2 linked regions of the Canis lupus familiaris genome follow. The protein of the gene in region 1 purifies or fractionates together with the protein of each later gene. This does not show direct contact. Links are inferred from orthologs where the notes say so. Each region holds a gene or a part of one and is shown on either strand. Other genes may lie near its edges.

Region 1 (9,542 bases):
CAGGACAGCAAAGCCCTGAGTCAGCCTCATAAATTGGTGACAGGCGAGACCAGAAAGGGCTGATGTCGAAACCTGGAGAGGAGGCCTGGCAGATTTCCAGAAGGGCGGGCCTCCCCCTCCATACGAGCTGGGCCTGCTCAGGACACGCTGGGCCATGTTCTCCCAGCCTCACCACCACAGGCCTCTTGGAGGGAGACTCCAAACCCGCTTTGCCTACTGTCTCAGCCCCTTCCCTCCTCACACCTGATGCAGGATGCTGGGAGTAGGATCGACTTTCAGGTTTTCTGCAGAGCTGATCACATCATCTGTGAACAAAGACAGTGTTCTTTCTTCTTTCCAGATCTAAACCTTTATTTCCTTGTCTTACTGCATCAGCCAGGACTTGTAAAAGGAAGCAGAGAGAGGGGGCACCTGCCTTATTCTTGATCTTAGTGGGAAAGCTTCGCATTTCTCACTGTTAAGTTACACAAGCTGTGGCTTCTTCATGGTCTTTACCAAGTTGAGGAAGTTCTCCTCTTCCTAATTTATTGAGGGTTTTTTTCCTTTATCATAAACGGTGTTAGGTTTTGTTAAATACTTTGCCTATATCGATATGATCACGTATTTTTCTTTAGCCTATTGATGTGCTGGGTTCCATGAACTGATTTTCACATGAAATGGCAGCCTTACCCGCCTGGGATAAATCTCGCTTGGTCGTGGTGTATAATTTTCTCTGTTCATTGCTGGATTTGGAGCTTGTTTTTAAGATGCACATTCCCTGACTGCAGCCTCAGGGCTTCAGATTCCGCAGGGCTGGGCTGGGGCAGACTGTGGCTCCTGCAGCCCCTGACCCTCTGCCTGTCTGTCCCCCCAGCCTTTGACAACCCCTATGCCCTGGTGGTGCTGGCCGAGGAGGAGCTGGTGGTGATTGACCTGCAGACAGCTGGTTGGCCGCCAATCCAGCCTCCCTACCTGGCCTCCCTGCACTGCTCCGCCATCACCTGCTCCCACCACGTCTCCAACATCCCCCTGAAGCTGTGGGAGCGGATCGTTGCTGCAGGCAACCAGCAGCAGACACACTTCTCCACCATGGTAGGTCCGGCACCAGCCCTGCCCCACCTCGGGCCAAGCTCTCCCATGGACTTCTTGGTCTCATTCTTTAGGAGTGGCCCATTGATGGTGGTACCAGTCTGGCCCCAGCCCCTCCCCAGAGGGACCTGCTGCTCACAGGGTAGGCGACTCTCACAGCACTCTCCTTCTGCTGAGTAGAATACACGGGGTGGGAGCAGAGCCCAGAGGGGTGCATGCCAGCCCGAGGCCTCTCGGGCACCCCTGGCCTGGCATCTCTCATGACTGGCAGGTGGACTCTGTCCACAGGCACGAGGATGGCACAGTGCGGTTCTGGGACGCCTCCGGTGTCTGCTTACGACTGCTGTACAAACTGAGCACGGTCCGGGTGTTCCTCACCGACACAGACCCCAATGATAACCTCAATGCCCAGGGTGAGGATGAGTGGCCCCCACTCCGCAAGGTAAGGCCAAGAGCCTGGAAACTAGGGTGGGCAAGGACAGGCTGGGTCTGGCACTTACAGCCCCCCATGGACCTCTCCATTGGCAGGTGGGCTCCTTCGACCCCTACAGTGATGATCCTAGGCTGGGCATCCAGAAGATTTTCCTCTGCAAATACAGTGGCTACCTGGCTGTGGCAGGCACGGCAGGGCAGGTAGCAGGCTGGGCTGGGCTCAGGGGGTGCTGCTAGGAGGAATAGTCAGGTGACTTTGGGTAGCGGCCCGGGGTCGTAGAGCAGGAAGGACAGGGGCCCATCTCCTGAGCACCCACTGATGGTGTCACCAGACCATCACCTGCTCCTCTGGGCTCTGGGCTTTTCCCAATGGATAGAGGTTGCCTGGTCCCCTGGGACAGACCTGTGAGGTGATTGTTTCTCCTCCAAAAACCAAGATCAAGGGCCAGGGATGGGGCAGAGGCCTTCTGGCTCTCCTTGGGCCCTGGGACTTGGCATGAGTCCCAGGTCCTTTACTGTCCACACACAGGGTCCCTGTGCTGTCCCTTGGTGCTGGGGTTGCTCAGCCCACCTGCCGTCTCCCCCAGGTGCTGGTGCTTGAGCTGAATGATGAGGAAGCAGAGCATGCTGTGGAGCAGGTGGAGGCCGACCTGCTGCAGGACCAGGAGGGCTACCGCTGGAAGGGGCACGAGCGCCTGTGTGCCCGCCCAGGGCCCGTGCATTTCGAGCCTGGCTTCCAGCCCTTTGTGTTGGTGCAGTGCCAGCCCCCGGCTGTGGTCACCTCCTTGGCCTTGCACTCTGAGTGGCGGCTTGTGGCCTTCGGCACAAGCCATGGTTTTGGCCTCTTTGACCACCAGCAGCGGCGGCAAGTCTTTGTCAAGTAAGCAGCGTGCCCGGGGTGGCCGAGGCCTGAACCTAGGGTTGCCAGTGGGCGATGACCCCTGGGCCCTGGCAGCACTGATGCCCTGATGCGCCCCCCCCCCCCCCCAGATGCACGCTGCACCCTAGTGACCAGCTAGCTTTGGAGGGCCCGCTGTCCCGAGTGAAGTCCCTAAAGAAATCCCTGCGCCAGTCCTTCCGCCGGATTCGTCGGAGCCGAGTGTCCAGCCGGAAGCGGCGGCCAGCTGGTCCCCCTGGAGAGGTGAGGCTGAGCCTGGGGAGAGCTCAGAGCAGCCAGCAGCGGGTCCAGACTAGGCCTCCATCCCCCAGCTGCTTTGGCTGCCAGGACAGGCTCTGGGCCCCACCAGTAGCTTCGTGTCCTGCCTCACTGCCCACCAGCCAAGTGACCTGTGCCTCATCTTCCCCAAATGTAAAGGGTTAAGTCCTCAGTAAATGTCATTGGACAGGTGGTGGCATGGGCAGTGGCCTGTCATCATCTTCTGGAAGGATTGGTGTGGGGCAATCTGATATCCCCAGGAAGGGGAGGCCAGAGTACCCCTCCCACTCAGGCCCCACCCGACCCACTGCAGGTGCAGGAGGGGAGCGCCAGGGCCGAGCGGGTGGGTGTGCAGAATATGGAGCTGGCACCCGTGCAGCGGAAAATTGAAGCTCGCTCAGCAGAGGACTCCTTCACGGGCTTTGTCCGGACCCTCTACTTCGCTGACACCTATCTGAGGGACAGTGAGTGGCCAGCCTGAGGTGGGGGGTCCCAGGAGAGCACTCCTTGGCCTGAGGTCATATTGGGGGCTGCCACCTGGCCTGGCTAAAAGGACCAGGCTTGGAGCATGGGGAGACCAGATCCTCCGCCTGCCTCTTTCTTTCCCCTGCTTGGGTCTCTAAGGGAGCTTGCCCCAGCTACATACTCAGGCTCCCCCACTCTCTGGAAGTGTGACCTTAGACACGTCCCTTAATCTGGGTCTCAGCTTCTGCCCCCGCAAAATGCCTGCTGGCATCCAGTGGGCCCTGCAGAAGCTCCCCTGCTGGCCTCCCACCAGGGCAAGGGTGGCATGGGGATATCCAGTGCTGTGTCTTGAGGGTTGAGCTGTCCTGGGTTTGAGATCATCTGTGCTTGGGGCCCTTGGTTGTCAGACAGCCCTTCTGGCTTCTGTCTACACCCCAGGGGGTTAGGCAGGATCCACAGCCATTCTGTCTTACAGAGGAGGAAACAGAGGCTTGACCTCAGAGTCACCCAGGTAGTGAGTGGCGAGGCAAGGATGCAAGCTCAGGTCACCTGGCTCTACCTGACCCCCAGAGCCTTGGGTTAGATATAAACCTTTGCCTCCTGGCAGGCTCCCGCCACTGCCCCTCTCTGTGGGCTGGCACCAATGGGGGTGCCGTCTACGCCTTTGCCCTGCGCGTGCCCCCCGCCGAGCGGAGAATGGACGAGCCCGTGCGGGCAGAGCAGGGTGAGTGCTGGGCAGTGGGGAGAGCAGAGGGTGCTCATCTGCTGAGGCTCAGGCTGGGGTGGTATCTCTGGCCTTGCCCCCCGCCTGACTATCACCCGCCATCTGCCTCTTGCCCTGTAGCCAAGGAGATCCAGCTGATGCACCGAGCACCCGTGGTGGGCATCCTGGTGCTGGACGGACATAGCGTGCCCCTTCCTGAGCCCCTGGAGGTGGCACATGACCTGTCAAAGAGCCCCGACATGCAGGGAAGCCACCAGCTGCTTGTGGTGTCAGAGGAGCAATTCAAGGTGTTGCTTGGGTAGAACCAGGAACCTCAGGGAGTCCGGGGGACATCTGGGGAGCTCAGATCCTGGGCACAATGACAGTGGCTGGGGTCCACTTGAAGTTGGATCTGCAGTTGATGTGAGATGTCACCAAGGCACAGAAAGGGAGAGGGGTAGAGTCCGGGGCCCCGGCGTCAGCAGGAGGACACTGAAACAGGACCTGTGTCCATAGGAGGGACAGAAACAGACATGGAAAGAAGTAGCCCAGGCCTCCTCGCAGTCCAGGTGCAGTGGCTGCGTGGCCGAGCACTGGGCAGAGAGGCACAGAGCTTGAGCAGACTTTGCTGGGAATCAGGGCAGGGCAGGGGCATCTGCTGGGAAGCAGGGCGCCATGGTCTGGCCAGGGTTCAAGCTGTTCTGTGCCCTCAGGTGTTCACGCTGCCCAAGGTGAGTGCCAAGCTGAAGCTGAAGCTGACCGCTCTGGAGGGCTCGCGGGTGCGGCGGGTCAGCGTGGCCCACTTCAGCAGCCGTCGAGCCGAGGACTACGGGGAGCATCACCTGGCCGTCCTCACCAACCTGGGCGACGTGCAGGTGGTCTCGCTGCCCCTGCTCAAGCCCCAGGTGCGGTACAGCTGCATTCGCCGGGAAGATGTCAGTGGCATCGCCTCCTGCGTCTTCACCAAATACGGCCAAGGTGGGCACCGGGCAGGTGTGGCGGGGCCGCAGCGATGACAGCCAGGGCTGTCGCAGCCAGGGCCAGGCTGGACTTACCTCAGCCGAGAACTTGGAGGGAGGCCCCAGCCCCCAATTCCTCCTGGGAGGGAAGTCCTGTCGACAGCCGGGCCCAGGAGCCACGGGCTGGCCTCACCTGCCAGGCCTCTCCTCCCCCCAGGTTTCTACTTGATCTCACCCTCAGAGTTTGAGCGCTTCTCTCTCTCCACCAAGTGGCTGGTTGAGCCCCGCTGCCTGGTGGAGTCAGCAGAAGCCAAGAGCCACAGCCGCCCTCGCAACGGATCAGGCCCAGAGAAGGCCTTGGGCCAAGCCAGGTTGGTAAAAAGGCGGGTGGCCTGAGGGTGCCTCGCTGAGACCCCCCTCTCCTGTGAGCTCCCCACCCTCCTGGCTCTGGCTCACCACCCCCCTTCGTAGGCCCCTCCCATGCAAGCTGCTATCCCCGGCAGGGCTTGGTTCTGGCTCAGGGTGGGCCCGGTCAGTTGACTTCATTCTTCATGGGATCAGAGCTTTCTGAGCTGGAATTGGGGGGGGGGGGGAGCCTAGCTGCCCCCCTCACTCCAGTCCTCACCATCTCTCTCCCCACAGGAACTCAGGGAGCCAGAGTGATGGAGAGGGTAAGACAGGCTTCCCTGTGGCCAGGGGTGCGGGGGGACAGAGGCAGTGTGAGACTTGGGCCCAGACCCAGACCGAAGGGGAAGGAGAGGAACCCCAGGCCTGCAGATGTGTTTGGGCTAAGCGAAGAAACGGCATCCCCTCCAGTCCTGAGCTCTGGGCTCCAGCACTCCCACTTCAGTAAAGAGGGAGCTGGGGCCGAAGGGGCCCCAAGGCTTGCTTGACTCAGCCTCTGCCTTTCAGAGAAAAGGCCTGGTCCAGTGATGGAGCACGCCCTGCTCAATGACGAGAGTGAGTTGGGGCAGGAGTTGGTGGGCTGGCTTGAGGGATGTTCCAAGGGAGGCTTGGAAGGCCAGGGTGGAACTGAGGGCCATTACCCTGTGGGAGGCAGACCTGCCCAACACCCTGCCAGTAAAAGGGGGCGAAACATTCGTGTCCGGCTCAGCATCTGTGGGCTTCACAGCGCCTCTGTTCCCCAACCCTGCAGGGGTCCTGAAGGAAATCCAGAGCACACTGGAGGGAGACCGAGGGTGAGTTACTGTTGGGGCCTGCAGGGCTGGGTCCGGGGGCTCCAAGAGATCTCAGGAAATGATGGGCCTCGTCTGGCCTCCCAGTGGTCCCCATGGATGGTGACTGCCCTGTCTTTGCCCTTCAGGAGCTATGGCGATTGGCGTTCTCAGCGAGTGACCGTGGGGTACAGCCTCAGCAATGGGGGAGGTAGGGGCTCTGGGCACTGCTACAGGGCTGGGGGCAACTGGGAGGGTATGCCTGCTGGCCTGGGGTGAGAGGGGGTAGGAGGAAGAGCCCATACATGCCCCCGGGGGTCCTGAAAAGCTGTGTGTCTAGGCTCAGGGTGGGTGACCGAGGCCTCTGGGCCCACCCAAGAGACTCCTGAGTTGTCATTGTTCTATCTACTTCCACAGCGGAGTGAACAGGTTGTGAGTCCAAGCTACACCGTGAACACACACTACTGAGGGCTCTCCCTGGGGCCCTGCCCTCCCCTAAACCCCACCCCCACCCCAGGGAGGACTGGACACCGGGCCATGCCCAGGGCTGGAGCGGAGCCCCATGTCCACCCTCCTGCTGCTGCTCTTGGCCTCGGGAGAGGCGGGGGCCTAGGGCCACGGGGCTGCCCCTCCTGGGCCTTGTCTCTGTTGATTCTTTTGTCAATGTTGCACAGTTTTTACTCCCTCCCCTTTTTGTAGTGGGCTGGGTTTTAAATTATAAATTTTAACTGCCTCTGGGTGGAAAAATAATTTTTAATAAACACATTACCTCTTCACCAGACTGGTCCAATGACTAATTCTTTTAATTATGCAGAAATTTTCTACGGAAACAACGGTTAGCCAGTCCCTTGCCTCTGCCCCTGGGGTGCAGTTACTGGACCAGACCAGTACTCCCGAGAATCTCTCTTTTTAAGACATTTGAGTCAGAGCAAACTGAGCTTGGTTGTATCTGGACACTACACTTCTGTGTTTGGGAATGAATGGCAAGAGTTAACCATCGCGAGTCTGCATGACTGTGCATCCCTGGGTCGAGGCAGAAGGGTTTGACTGGCCTTTCCTTGCTGTCAGAAGGGGAAGACGCGCACCGTATTTTCAGACCTGTTGCCTTCTTCCAGACTTCAGGGAAGGGCTGGGAGCTGCTGCTGAGGTCAGAGACTGTGCCCAGAGATGAAAGGTCTTACCCTCAGATGAACAGCTGGATCAGATAGCTGTTCTGGTCCTTATAAACCAGGGGGGTTGGTCTACTTTATATATATATATATATATATATATTTTATTTATTCATGAGAGACAGAGAGAGAGAGGCAGAGACACAGGCAGAGGGAGAAGCAGGCTCCATGCAGGGAGCCCGATGGGGGACTCAATCCTGGATCTCCAGGATCACACCCTGGGCTGAAGGTGGCACTAAACCACTGAGCCATCCAGGCTGCCCCGGGGGTTGGTCTACTTGATTCTACTTCATTTACCTGTCTTTGGTGAGCATCTACTATATGCCAGGCACATGGGGTCCCTGCCTTGTGGGGCTCACCGTCCTAACAAGGGCAGGAAGTCTTAAGATGCAGGCAGTCCGGGGGTGACAGTAAGCTGGGGCAGGAACATGACCAGAGAGGGTGCTCCACAGAAGACAGGAGCCAGCAGCTTGCCTTGGGAGCTGGTGGGTCCAGAGCTGGCAGGGGTAGGGGGTGGGAACGCCTGGGTGGCTCAGCAGTTGAGCCCCAAAGCTCAGGGCACGATTCCTGGTCTGGCATCAAGTCCTACATCAGGCTCCTTACAGGGAGCCTGCTTCTCCCTCTGCTTATGTCTGTGCCTCACTCTCTGTGTCTCTCATGAATAAATAAAATCTTAAAAAAACAAAAAAAACTGAAGGGGGTGGTCAGGAAGTGTTCTGAAAACAAGACTACCACGTGACTGGGGCCAGATTGGGACCCCCTGCCCCTGGAGCCTGGCGAGGGCAGGGGCACTGCTGTGTGGCACAGGAGCCCACCTCTGGGGCTGTTAGAAAAGGACATGGATTGGTGCACAAGGCAGAGGAGGAGCCAAGGTCCAGGTCCCAGGATGGATGCGCTGTGGGAACGTCCTCCCTAGCACCCTCCAGGCAAGCATGTGCAGCTCAAAAGTCTCTGGGCTATTTAACTTGGGCCACTCCAGTGGCCCCTGTTCTCCTTGGAAGTGGGGGTGGCGCTTACTGAGATAGTCCCAAAAGCCACAAGGAATGAGGAGGAACAGTCCCTCAAAAGGAAGAGGGGCCCAGACCATGGTCCTAGAAGTAGTGGAGAAGGGATTCTGGGTAGATACAGAGACAGAGCTACAGACAGGAGGGGACTGCTACACACCCAGCCAGACAGTCTGGACTTGATTCTGAGACTCTGGAAGCATCTCAGATGCTTCCCTTAAGCAGGGAATTTCCCTGTGAAATTTATGCTTCCAAAGATCACCGTGGCATAAATCCCAGCGAGTTCCACTCTGTGACCTCAGGCAAATTGCCTACCTGCTGTGCGTCCCAGCTTCTTCTGGGGATTGGAATAATGATAGTACCTGCTCAGGACCTGTTGTGAGGTTCAAGGGAGTCCACGAAGTTCACGGGTTCATGACCCTCTGTCAGGGTCACAGAGAGCATGTTACCGCTTCCCTGCACAGGATCTTTTTTTTTTTTTTTTTTTTTTTTTGCACAGGATCTTTATTTTTATCATAAAAGAAATTAAACTCTGCTGTTTACACCTTATAGAGTTGGCACTGGGTCCTCAGTCTGGGGGTCAGAGGGTTATGCTCCAAAAGTGGGTGCCAAGGAGGGAGTGAGAACATGACACCCCAGAGAGCTGGACAGCCACACAGACACACACACACACAGTCTATGGGGACTCATGTGCTTTTCTGACTACTGGTTTAGAAGGGCTTACTGCTTGTTTTTGTCCAGTTAGCTAAATTAACTCACACAAGTGGACAAGTGACATGAAGTTTCCTCCCAAAGAAACCAAGAATTGAAGACCATGGTAATAACACAAGCACCAACATGTCAGAAAACAACAGACCCAAACACTTCCATGGCACAGAGAGCCTCATAGCCACAGCAATGATCCAGCTCCACTGAACAGAAGCCACCCAGCGCCACACACACACACACACACACACACACACACACCTGAAAATATCCACTCTGAACATGGATTGGATTTACATCCATGCTCACTGAGGCTGAGCTTTGCCTTAAGTACTTTGTGCTGTGAAGTATCAGCTACTGTCGGTGGCTCACCTATTTCAGTTCTAGAAAAACCTTCCCCTATCAGGAGTATGAGATCAACAATTTTTATTGATAGGCATGCACAAATGGAAGGGTTTGGCACTGTCTAGAAAGTGGATTAATGGAAGCTGGGCTGGCACAGAGAGAAGCTGGAGGTCCTTGCAGCTTCTGTCCAGGGAGGGGTGATGGTAGCAGCAGGTGGGGATACCAAGAGTAGAGGTGACAAGGACCTCTGCCAGATGGAGAAGGTGAGTGAGTGACAGAGATCACTGCTGACTCCAAGGCCTTGCTGGTGTTCCAAGGGCAGCTGGACACGTGGTCTAGAGACTGGGATCTGAGGGTCTTC
Region 2 (10,494 bases), on another chromosome or scaffold:
AAAGAATTTCAACTACTGTGTTTCCATTTTCATTTGTCTCCAGGAACTTTTATTTCGCTTGATTTCTTTGTTGATCCTTTGTAGCATGTTACTTAGCCTTGACATGTGTGTGGCTTCTTCCATTTTCTTGCATTTGATTTCTAGTAATACCATTGTGGTCACAAAAGGTGCTTGATATGATTTCAATCTTCTTAAATTTATTGAGACTTGTTTTGTGACCAAATATGATCTGTCCTGGAGTATGCACCACATGTGGTTGATAAGAATGTATATTCTTTTGCTTTGGGATGGAATGTTCTACATATATCTGTTAGGTCCATCTGGTCTAATGTGTCATTTACAGCCACTGTTTCTTTATTGATTTTTCTGTCTGGAATATCTATCCATTGATGCAAGTGAAGTGCTAAAGTCTCCTACTATTATTATTAGTTTATCCCTTTAGAATGTTGGTAGTTGCTTTATGTATTTAGTTGCTTCAGGTTGCATGCATGTTTGTGATTGTTATATCCTCTTGTTGGACTGGTCCTTTTATCATTATGCGATGCCCTTCTTTGTCTCGTTATAGTCTTTATTTCAAAGTCTAGTCTGTTCAATATAAGTATTGCTATCCCAGTTGCTTTTTTTTTTTTCTTCATTAGCATGGAATATCTTTTTCCATCCCTTCTCTTTTTATCTGTGTATGTCTTTAGATCTAAGGTGAGTCTCTTACAGACAGCATATAGATGGATCTTGTTTATAGATCCATTTACCCCATGTCTTTTGATTGGAGCATTAAATTATCAATAGGTTATGTAATTATTGCCATTTTGTTCACTGTTTTCTGATATAATTCTGTTCCTCTCTTCTTCTCTTGTTCTCTTCCCTTGTGATTTGATGACTTTCTTCAGTGTTATGCTTGGATTCCTCTCTATTTTTTGTGTATCTATTTATTGGTTTTTGGCTTGTGGTTATCATGAGATTCATGATATATGTATAGCATATATACAGCAATCTATATTAAGTCAAAAGCACTCTAAAAAATAATTTATGGACATGATGTATTTTACTTTATTTTGTGTATCCCCAAGTTTTATAGATATAATTTATTTTACCACTTTTGCTTGTTAATATTCATACTAGTTTTGTAACTCTTAATGAGTATATTAATTATACTACATTTACTATGTTTTTGCTTTTTATCTGTGAAATTTTTCCCTTTCATAATTTTTGTACTTCTAGTTATGGCCTTCTCTTTTCCACTTATAGAAGTCCCTTTAATGTTTCTTATAAGGCCAGCTTAGTAGTTAGGAATTCTTAATTTTTGTTTGTCAGGGAAACTCCATCTCTCCTTCAGTACTGAATGATAGCCCTGCTGGACAGAATGTTCTTCTTGTAGGGTTTTTTCCTTTCAGCACTTTGACTATAACCTATTACTCCTCCCTGCAAAGTTTCTGCTGAAATATCAACTGACAGTCTAATAGGCTTTCCTTTTTACGTAGCTAGTAGCTTTTCTCTTGCTTGCTTTTAAGATTCTCTGTTTAACATTGACATTCTAATTATCATATGTCTTGGTATGTAACTCCTTGGGTTCATCTTTTTGGGGATCTCTCTGTTTCCTGGACCTAGATCCCTTTCCTTCTTCAGGTTAGGGAAGTTTTCAGTTATTATTTCTTCAAATAGGTTTTCTATACCTTTCTCTATCTCCTCTCCCTCTAAGACCCCTGTCCCATGAATCTTAAACACTTAGCCCTTAACCTGTCTCATCATTTAATTTTTTCCTTTTGTTGTTGTTCAGCATGGGTGCTTTCCATGACTGTCTTCCAGACCATTGATTGATCCATTCTGCATCCTCAAATCTGCTATTTGTTTTCTCTGATATAATTTTCATTATACTTATTGGATTCAACTTTTTTAATACTCTCTCATTACTAAAGTTCTCAGAGTTCATCTACTCTTTTTTTCAAGTCTGGTGGGTATCTTTATGACCATTACTTTGAATTCTTTATCAAGTAGGAAGGTGGTTTATCTTCATTTCCTTAGGTCCTTTTCGGAGGTTTTGTCTGATTCTGTGTTTATTTCTATGTATTAGATCCATCAGCTATGTCTCCTGGTCTTGAAGTGATAGACTCACACAAAAGATGTCTTTTGGGGCCATAGTCCCCTCTGGTCATCAGAAGCATGTGCTTCAGGGTTGTCCCCTGGGTGGGCTGCTGGGAGTATGTTGGTAGGGGGAGCTGTCCCCCATCCTGGGGCCAGGAGTCCCTGTGCAGCAGTGTCCGTCCCAGCTGGGGCTACCCCCTGGGTGTGGCAGATGGAGGAGTGCCTGCCAAGGCCAGGCAAGCAGGACCAGCACGTTAGATGGAGAGTGCCAGTAGTGGTGCCTGGCCAGCTAGGCTGAAAGAGGGCAAAACAGTAGTGTCCATCAGCACTTCCATTCCCAAAGAAAGCACCTGCAGATTCCTGCCCCTGCAACACATGCCCTAAAATCTGTCAGTAAGTTTCCCTTACGTATACTCCAGGCACTTCTCAGACTGCTGCCTCTGTACTGGCTCTGAAGCCAAGTGATACAGTACACTAGCCTTCCAAAAGCAGCCCTGCTCTCCTGGAGTTAGGCTCCACTAGTTTTCAAAGCTCCCGGGGTTGAGCCTTGCTGATTTTCAAAGCTAGACATCAGGAGGGCTCATCTTCCTCGTACAGGGTCACCCTGGGGGTTTGATGCCATCAGTCCTCAGGGAGGACCTCTGCAACTGTGATAGCCATCCTGCATGTGGGTCATGTGCCAGGAATTTGCTTCCTGTCTTTGCCCCTCCTGCCCTTCTTGGTGTGGCTTTTTCTTTCTGTCCTTGGCTGTGGAAGAGTTGTCCTGCTAGCCTCAGGTTCTCGGGTTGAGTTGCCTTCTGTGTGGTGGATGCCTTGTGTGTCCGTGGGGGGAGGTGAGCTCAGACTCCTCTACTCTCAGCCCCACGGTCTCAGGGCATTCATGTTAATGTCTGACCAGTAGATCTGACATCAGGTCTTTTTTAGGGACAGATTCTGTAGAATTCCCTTTTTCCTTTCAATGGGCCAAACTCCCTGTGCCTTGTGATTTTTTGGCTGAACATGGCACATTCGAATCTCCTGATGTGGTGACTCTGGAAATCAGACTCCCCTTCCCCACCCCCCTTTCCCAGGCTTTGCTGTTTTGTTGTCATCATTCTTTGGATGGTGGCAGGCTGCCTCTGTGCTGAGGATCAGCCCAAGGTGCAAGCTCAGTGTCTTCTGGGGTCTTCTCTGAGCCTTCCCTTGGGCAGGCACCATCCGTCCTAATTTCCCACGTGTGCAGCTGTTTCTGAATGTCCTAATGTGTGGCTCCCCAAAGGGGAAAAGTGAGAAACCACAGGGGCATCAGGGGGCACCCGCCCTCTCAGTGCCATTGCAGTCACGCAAGCTGGAGCCAGAGCAGCGACAGCAGTGGCCGCAGCCTCTGTATCTGCACCTGTGAAGTCAGAGCACAGACTCTGCTCTTGGAAGGAAAGGGTCCTTCCTGCTGACCTGGCGTCAGCAGGCGGCTCCTGAAACACATGCACAGCTGCCTGCTGCAGGGCTGAGTAGCTGCCCCTGTGCTCCAAGCTAGAATAGACCAGAACTGGCTCCTTCTGCTGGACAGTTGGAATCCTTCAGCAGACTCCACTATCCCAAAATAGTCCCATCAGCCAGATTCTGCCCCTGCAGTGGTCGCTGAGGTCGGGGAGAGTCCTGGCGCTCCCTGAGCTGCCCTCCTCCCAAAGTCCAATCAGGCACTTAAACTTTCCATCTATTGCAGTTTCTTGTTTCTTCCTCTCCACCTTTCATTCATTTTGTCGACTGCCTGTGGGTGGTTCTGGAGATTTGCAGAGAGCTAACTTTAGGGATTGGACTTGAACTCTTGGGCCAGCTCAAGTGATGCCAGGATCACTGCGGACTCAGTGAAACAACTCAGGAAGTCCCTCCATAGCATCCTGGCGGCTGAGACCTGCTAGGCATGTGGGTGAGAGTCCTGGGAGTCCATGGAAGCCAGAGGTAACTGTGGTGCTCAGTGCCTGGGAGTTTGGCAGCCCGGGGCCCAGCCAACAGGTGGGCAGCAGAGAGGCGGGCCCAGGGCCCCCACCCTCCACTACTGTGCCCCATCCTGATCGTCCCCTCTGCTGTTTCAGAGGAGGCCGAGCATGGCAGCTTCGGGGCTGGCTCGCTGTCCCGCCGCAGGAAGGCACTGGCACTGCGTGAGGACGGCCCCCGCCGGCGGACGCACCTGCACATCGGCCTGCCGCACGACTTCCGCCCGGTGTCCTCCATCATCGACGTGGACATCTTGCCCGAGACGCACCGCCGCGTGAGGCTGTACAGGCACGGCTGCCAGAAGCCGCTGGGTTTCTACATCCGCGATGGCACGAGCGTGCGCGTGGCCCCGCAGGGCCTGGAGAAGGTGCCTGGCATCTTCATCTCGCGCATGGTGCCCGGCGGCCTGGCCGAGAGCACCGGGTTGCTGGCCGTGGATGACGAGGTCCTGGAGGTGAACGGCATCGAGGTGGCGGGGAAGACGCTGGACCAGGTCACGGACATGATGATCGCCAACAGCCACAACCTCATCGTCACGGTCAAGCCGGCCAACCAGAGGAACAACGTGGTGCGCGGCAGCCGCGTGGCGGGCGGCTCGGGCCGCTCCTCGGACAGCGGGGCCAGCCGCCACAGCCTGCCCGCGGCCCCCGCCCTGCTGCGCCTGCAGCCCGACGACGTGGACAGCGACGACGAGCCCGACGTGGTGCTGGAGGGCGTGCTGGGGCCGCGGCCGGTGCCCAGGCTGCCCCCGCCGCCCCCGCCGCCCCCGCCGGGCAGCCAGGCGCGGGTCAACGGCGCAGGCCCCGGGCTGGGCAGGGAGGGCCCGGCGCACCGGCTGCTCAGCTCGCTGCGCGCAGACCCGCGCCACAGCCTGGCCCTGCCGCTGCCCCCGGGGGCGGTGGAGGAGCACGGCCCGGCGGTCACGCTGTAGGCCCGCGCCGCCCGGCAGCCCGCCACCCGGCTCTTCGTCCATCCCGCCTCCTGGCCCGCACCCCGGGCTCGCTTTATTCAAACCTGCCGACAGAAAATACAGATGCTATTTTTACAGAACTTTTGCGTAGAACATCACACGCACTCATTTGCGGTCTGCGTCCTGCCGAGGTCGGTCCCGGCCCTTTCCCGAAATGGCAGAAAGGATCTGACTGCGTGCAGAAAAGATTTCATTCAGAAATTTTTAAAGATACTTTTATAAATGAAGCTTTAAAATTACTTTTTAAATACAGTCGAATTTGTGTTTTTAACGTGACTTGTGCAAAAACAACCTGTCGAGTCAGCACTGTTTTTACTGTGCTCCAGCTGACTTGCAGAGACTGGTTTCTAACAATACATACCAAACCTTTAACAGGTAGGACTATAAACAATGAATCTCAAATTTTCACATTATTTACAGCTCTATTTCAGATAGCCCAGTGGGTGTCGAACTCTCAGACATCCCTGGAAAAAAGACCTGGTGTGAAACAGTCCGGCAGTGCCTGCAGGTGGTCAGAGGCGGCTTGTCTTCAGCCTCTGAGGGCAAACGCCACCTCTGCTGGATGGCACTGTATGCTCAGCAATACTTCTCTGACCAAAAGCCAATATAGATAAAAACTAGTCTTGTAGACTGATTGAGGGCAATTTTTGAAATATTGTCAGCAGAAAGGATGGATCCACCTACCACAAACCCCAGATACGCCTTTAAAAGCTGTCATTTGGTTGTATAGTTTCTCTTATCTCTGTTTTTAAATTACAAGTCACATGAAAATTAATTATTTTTAACACATTAAATTCACTGTCACTTCCTTTTTGATCTTCCAGAAATATTTTATATATTCAGTAATTTTAAAGATTTATTCATGTTTGACCCAGTTTTACATGAAGTGTATTTTGTTTGAGTCCACTGTCGAGGAGAAAATATTACACTTATACTTCGAGAACTCTGACCAAACAAAGCTTTCATATAAATACAGGTAAAAATATTTTTCTAGGATGCCTTTCCAGGCAATGCTTCTCCTGTGGCACAGCAACCCCTGCTGGTCGGTGGCAGAACTGTCCTGCTGCTAACAAACGGGAAAACCCTATGTCAACATCTCCATTTTTCCTGAATTCGTTAAGTGTAAAAGCAAATTAATTTTCTTTTGGAAACTATTTATTGGGCAGAAATAGCTTTTATTGAGTAGTTGTGGTCTCCTGCACCTATGTTTGATGTTATTATTTGTATACCGGGATCACTGTTGGTTTTATTCCTAAGCAAAGGGAGGACCAGAGATGCTCTCCCTTTGAGGTCTAGGCAGAGAGTCCAAATGCACCCAAACTTACGGGCTCCAGTGAACTGTATGAGCATCTTTTTTGGCACCTAAGCAGTCAGAAGTGGGTTTTTTCTTACTACAATAAGTATAGAACCAAAACTCTAGTGCTACTTACTATCAGAAATGAAATGTTCTTTTACTAAGTTATTGCTGGTTATTGAATATCTTGTTGAGTAACTGGATCTGTTACCAAGAAGGAACGTTATATTTCTTACCATGTTTTAAATTAAGTAAATGTGAATAATTTTTTAAAGAAAAAAAAAAGAAGCCTCCTCAGACTTGTATGCTGTTGTTCATAATTTTAGGGATTCTGAATTTCTTGGAACAGCTGCTTCAGTGTATTTTTGTACCATATCTTCTGCCATTTTCTTTTTAAAACAAAACAAAACAAAAATACTATGTTGTATTACACATTAAAGTTTTCTTGGTTTTATATATCAAAGAATAAAAACTTTTTCTTTGCATTTAATATTTTTCACTTGTGTTCTAAATGTTGGAGAGGTTAGCAGTGTTGGTGATGAGCAGAAACTCATCCCTCAGAATGGAATGCTATTTAGCAAGAGCCTATCCTGTGCCATATGTTTCCACTTAATCATCACACGTAGCCAATAGCATTATCCCCATTTTGCAGAGAGAAAATGGACTCAAACACAAGCATGTGTAGGTCATTTCAAATAATGAAATTATAGTTGTATTTGATGGGAGATGGATGCATCTTAGATCTAGAAACTTCTTTTTAAGTCCTTTTGAAAAAGGTTTTCCAAATACTTCCTACACATCTCTCCCTAAATATGCCCAGGTTTGCAAATTTGCCATTCATCCTTTCTCACCCTGACATTACGTACGATGCATAGCAGCATGAGTTCCCCATTCAGTCATTACAGACATTCTGGTGACATCAGCAACCACCAATAACTCCTGGAAGAAATGTGCTCTGTACAGGCATTCATCAACTTAACCCTGTCAGTGACTTTACAGTTTACAGCTGGGGACACTCAAACAACTGGAGTGTCCCTCCACAGTCTGAAGAGATGGCACTGAGCAGAGATGTAGATCTCCCTGACCTGGTAATCCACATTGTCAACCCCAGGGCCTATGCTGCCCTTCAGAGGAGCCAGCCTGTCAGCTGGGCAATGAGGCTAGCCATGAATCACAAGTTACATAGCATCTTGCAGTATTAGACAAAGTGATCATATATGGGCAGTGGGTCTCATGGCAAGTTGCAAAGATACCTTCAAAATGCTGATTGTTATTCTACCAAACATTTAAAGAAGAAATAATACTTATTCCACTATGGCTATTTCAAAAGATAGAAATGGAAGGAATACTTCCAAATTCATTCTATGAGGTCAGCATTACCTTGATCCCCAAACCAGACAAAGACCCCACCAGAAAGGAGAATTACAGATTAATATCCCTGATGAACATGGATGTTAAAATTCTAAGATTCTAGCCAATAGGATCCAACAGTACATAAAGAGGATTATTCACCACGACCATGTGGGATTTATTCCCGGGCTGCAAGGGTGGTTGAACACTCGTAGAACTATTGATGTGTGAGATCACATCAGTAAAAGAAAAGACACGAACCACATGATCCTCTCAGTAGATACAGACAAAGCATGTGACAAAATACAGCATCCATTCCTGATCAAAACTATTCAAAGTGTAGGGATAAAGGAAACATTTCTCAATATCATAAAAACCCTTTATGAAAAGTCCACAGAGAATATCATTCTCAATGGGGAAAAACTGAGAGCCTTTCCCCTAAGATCAGGAACACGACAGGCATGCCCATTCTCACCACTGTTAGTCAACATAGTTCTAGACGTCCCAGTCTCACCAATCAGACAAATAGAAATAAAAGGCATTCAAACTGGCCAAGAAGAAGTCAAACTCTCCCTCTTTGCAGATGACATGATACTGTACATAGAAAACCCAAACGACTCTGCCCCAAGATTGCTAGAACTCATACAGCAATTCAGCAGTGTGGCAGGATACAAAATCAATGCCCAGAAATCAGTGGCATTTCTATACACTGAGACTGAAGAAAGAGAAATTAAGGAGTCAATCCCATTTACAATTGCACCCAAAAGCATAAGATATCTAGGAATAAACCTAACCAAAGAGGTAAAGGATCTATACCCTAAAAACTACAGAACTCTTCTGAGAGAAACTGAGGAAAAGTATTGATGCTCATGGATTGGAAGAATAAATATTGTGAAAATGTCTATGCTACCCAGGGCAATGTACATATTCAATGCAATACCTATCAAAATACCATGGACTTTCTTCACAGAGTTGGAACAAATAATCTTAAGATTTGTGTGGAACCAGGGATGCCTGGGTGGCTCAATGGTTGAGCGAGCATCTGCCTTCAGCTCAGGGCATGATCCCGGGGTCCTGGGATCGAGTCCCACATTAGGCTCCCTGTGCAGAGCCCACTTCTCCTTCTGCCTGTATCTCTGCCTCTTTCTCTGTCTCTCTCATGAATAAATAAATAAAATCTTAAAAAAAAAAAAAAATATTTCTGTGGAACCAGAAAAGACCTTGAGTAACCAGGGGCATCACAATGCCAAATTTCAAGGTGTACTACAACTTGTGATCATCAAGACAGTGTGGTACTGGCACAAAAATAGACACATAGATCAATGAAACAGAATAGAGAACCCAGAAATGAGCCCTGAACTCTATGGTCAACTAATATTTGGCAAAAGAGGAAAGAATGTCCACTGGAAAAAGACAGTCTCTTCAATAAATGGTGCTGAGAAAATTGGATAGCCATGTGCAGAAGAATGAAACTAGACCATTCTCTTACACCAGACACAAAGATAAACTCAAAAATGGATGAAAGATCTAAATGTGAGACAAGATTCCATCAAAATCCTAGAGGAGAACACAGGCAACACCCTTTTTGAACTTGGCCACAGCAACTTCTTGCAAGATACATCCATGAAGGCAAGAGAAACAAAATCAAAAATGAACTCTTGGGATTTCATCAAGATAAAAAGCTTCTGCACAGCAAAAGAAACAATCAACAAAACTAAAAGACAACCTACAGAATGGGAGAAGATATTTGGAAATGACATATCACATAAAGGGCTAGTATCCAAGATCTATAAAGAACTTATCAAAGTCAACACCCAAGAAACAAACAATCCAATCATAAAATGGGCAAAAGACATGAACAGAAATTTCATCAAAGAAGACATACACATGGCCAACAAGCACATGAGAAAATGCTCCATATCACTTGCCATCAGGGAAATACAAATCAAAACCACAATGAGATACCATCTCATACTAGTGAGAATCGTGAAAATTAACAAGACAGGAAACAACAAATGTTGGAGAGGATGTGGAGAAAAGAGAACCCTCTTACACTGTTGGTGGGAATGTGAACTGGTGCAGCCACTCTGGAAAACTGTGTGGAGGTTCCTCAAAGAGTTAAAAATAGATCTGCCCTATGACCCAGCAATTGCACTGTTGGGGATTTACCCCAAAGATTCAGATGCAGTGGAAAGCCAAGACACCTGCACCTCAATGTTTATAGGAGCAATGTCCACAGTAGTCAAACTGTGGAAGGAGCCTCGATGTTCTTTGACAGATGAATGGATAAAGAAGATGTGGTATATATAGATACAATGGAATATTCCTCAGCCATCAAAGAGGATGAATACTCACCATTTGCTTCAATGTGGATGAAACTGGAGGGTATTATGCTGAGTGAAATAAGTCAATCGGAGGACAACCATTATATGGTCTCACTCATACGGGGAATATAAAAAATAGTGAAAGGGATTATAAGGGAAAGAGGGAAACTAAGTGGGAAAAATCAGAGAGGGAGACAAACCATGAGAGACTCCTGACTCTGGGAAACACACAAAAGGTCGTGGAAGGGGAAGTGGGGGGGTGATGGGGTAACTGGGTGATGGGCACTGAGGAGGGCATGTGATGGGATGAGCACTAGGGGTTATACTATGTTAGCAAATTGCATTTAAATATTTTTTAAATGCTGATTGTTTAAAAATCCAGTTTAGCAAAAATCTGAGACAAGTGTTCCAAAAGAAGGCCATAAAGTTATTTTCACATCTCCATCAAATGTTTCTTAAGAACTCTGATGCACTTCTGGGGTCCTTGATTCCAAGATGACCAG

What was found.
Region 2: the proteins of LLGL2 (region 1) and PARD6G purify together in Homo sapiens (affinity purification with mass spectrometry; 4 studies listed by BioGRID and IntAct, counting the BioPlex papers as one, with this or other methods). This does not show direct contact. The link is inferred for Canis lupus familiaris from reciprocal best matches to the Homo sapiens genes LLGL2 and PARD6G.

What each region holds. Positions count from the first base shown.
Region 1 is NC_049230.1:5,853,133-5,862,674, reverse strand, and holds the end of LLGL2 (LLGL scribble cell polarity complex component 2), read left to right. Parts: intron 1-853; coding exon 854-1,071; intron 1,072-1,142; coding exon 1,143-1,210; intron 1,211-1,356; coding exon 1,357-1,510; intron 1,511-1,596; coding exon 1,597-1,701; intron 1,702-2,087; coding exon 2,088-2,380; intron 2,381-2,490; coding exon 2,491-2,641; intron 2,642-2,969; coding exon 2,970-3,120; intron 3,121-3,728; coding exon 3,729-3,845; intron 3,846-3,965; coding exon 3,966-4,132; intron 4,133-4,537; coding exon 4,538-4,802; intron 4,803-5,000; coding exon 5,001-5,154; intron 5,155-5,425; coding exon 5,426-5,454; intron 5,455-5,695; coding exon 5,696-5,743; intron 5,744-5,939; coding exon 5,940-5,982; intron 5,983-6,107; coding exon 6,108-6,169; intron 6,170-6,375; coding exon 6,376-6,383; 3' UTR 6,384-6,737; downstream 6,738-9,542. UniProt on the Homo sapiens protein: Part of a complex with GPSM2/LGN, PRKCI/aPKC and PARD6B/Par-6, which may ensure the correct organization and orientation of bipolar spindles for normal cell division.
Region 2 is NC_049222.1:529,204-539,697, forward strand, and holds the end of PARD6G (partitioning defective 6 homolog gamma), read left to right. Parts: intron 1-4,151; coding exon 4,152-4,984; 3' UTR 4,985-6,807; downstream 6,808-10,494. UniProt on the Homo sapiens protein: Adapter protein involved in asymmetrical cell division and cell polarization processes. May play a role in the formation of epithelial tight junctions. The PARD6-PARD3 complex links GTP-bound Rho small GTPases to atypical protein kinase C proteins.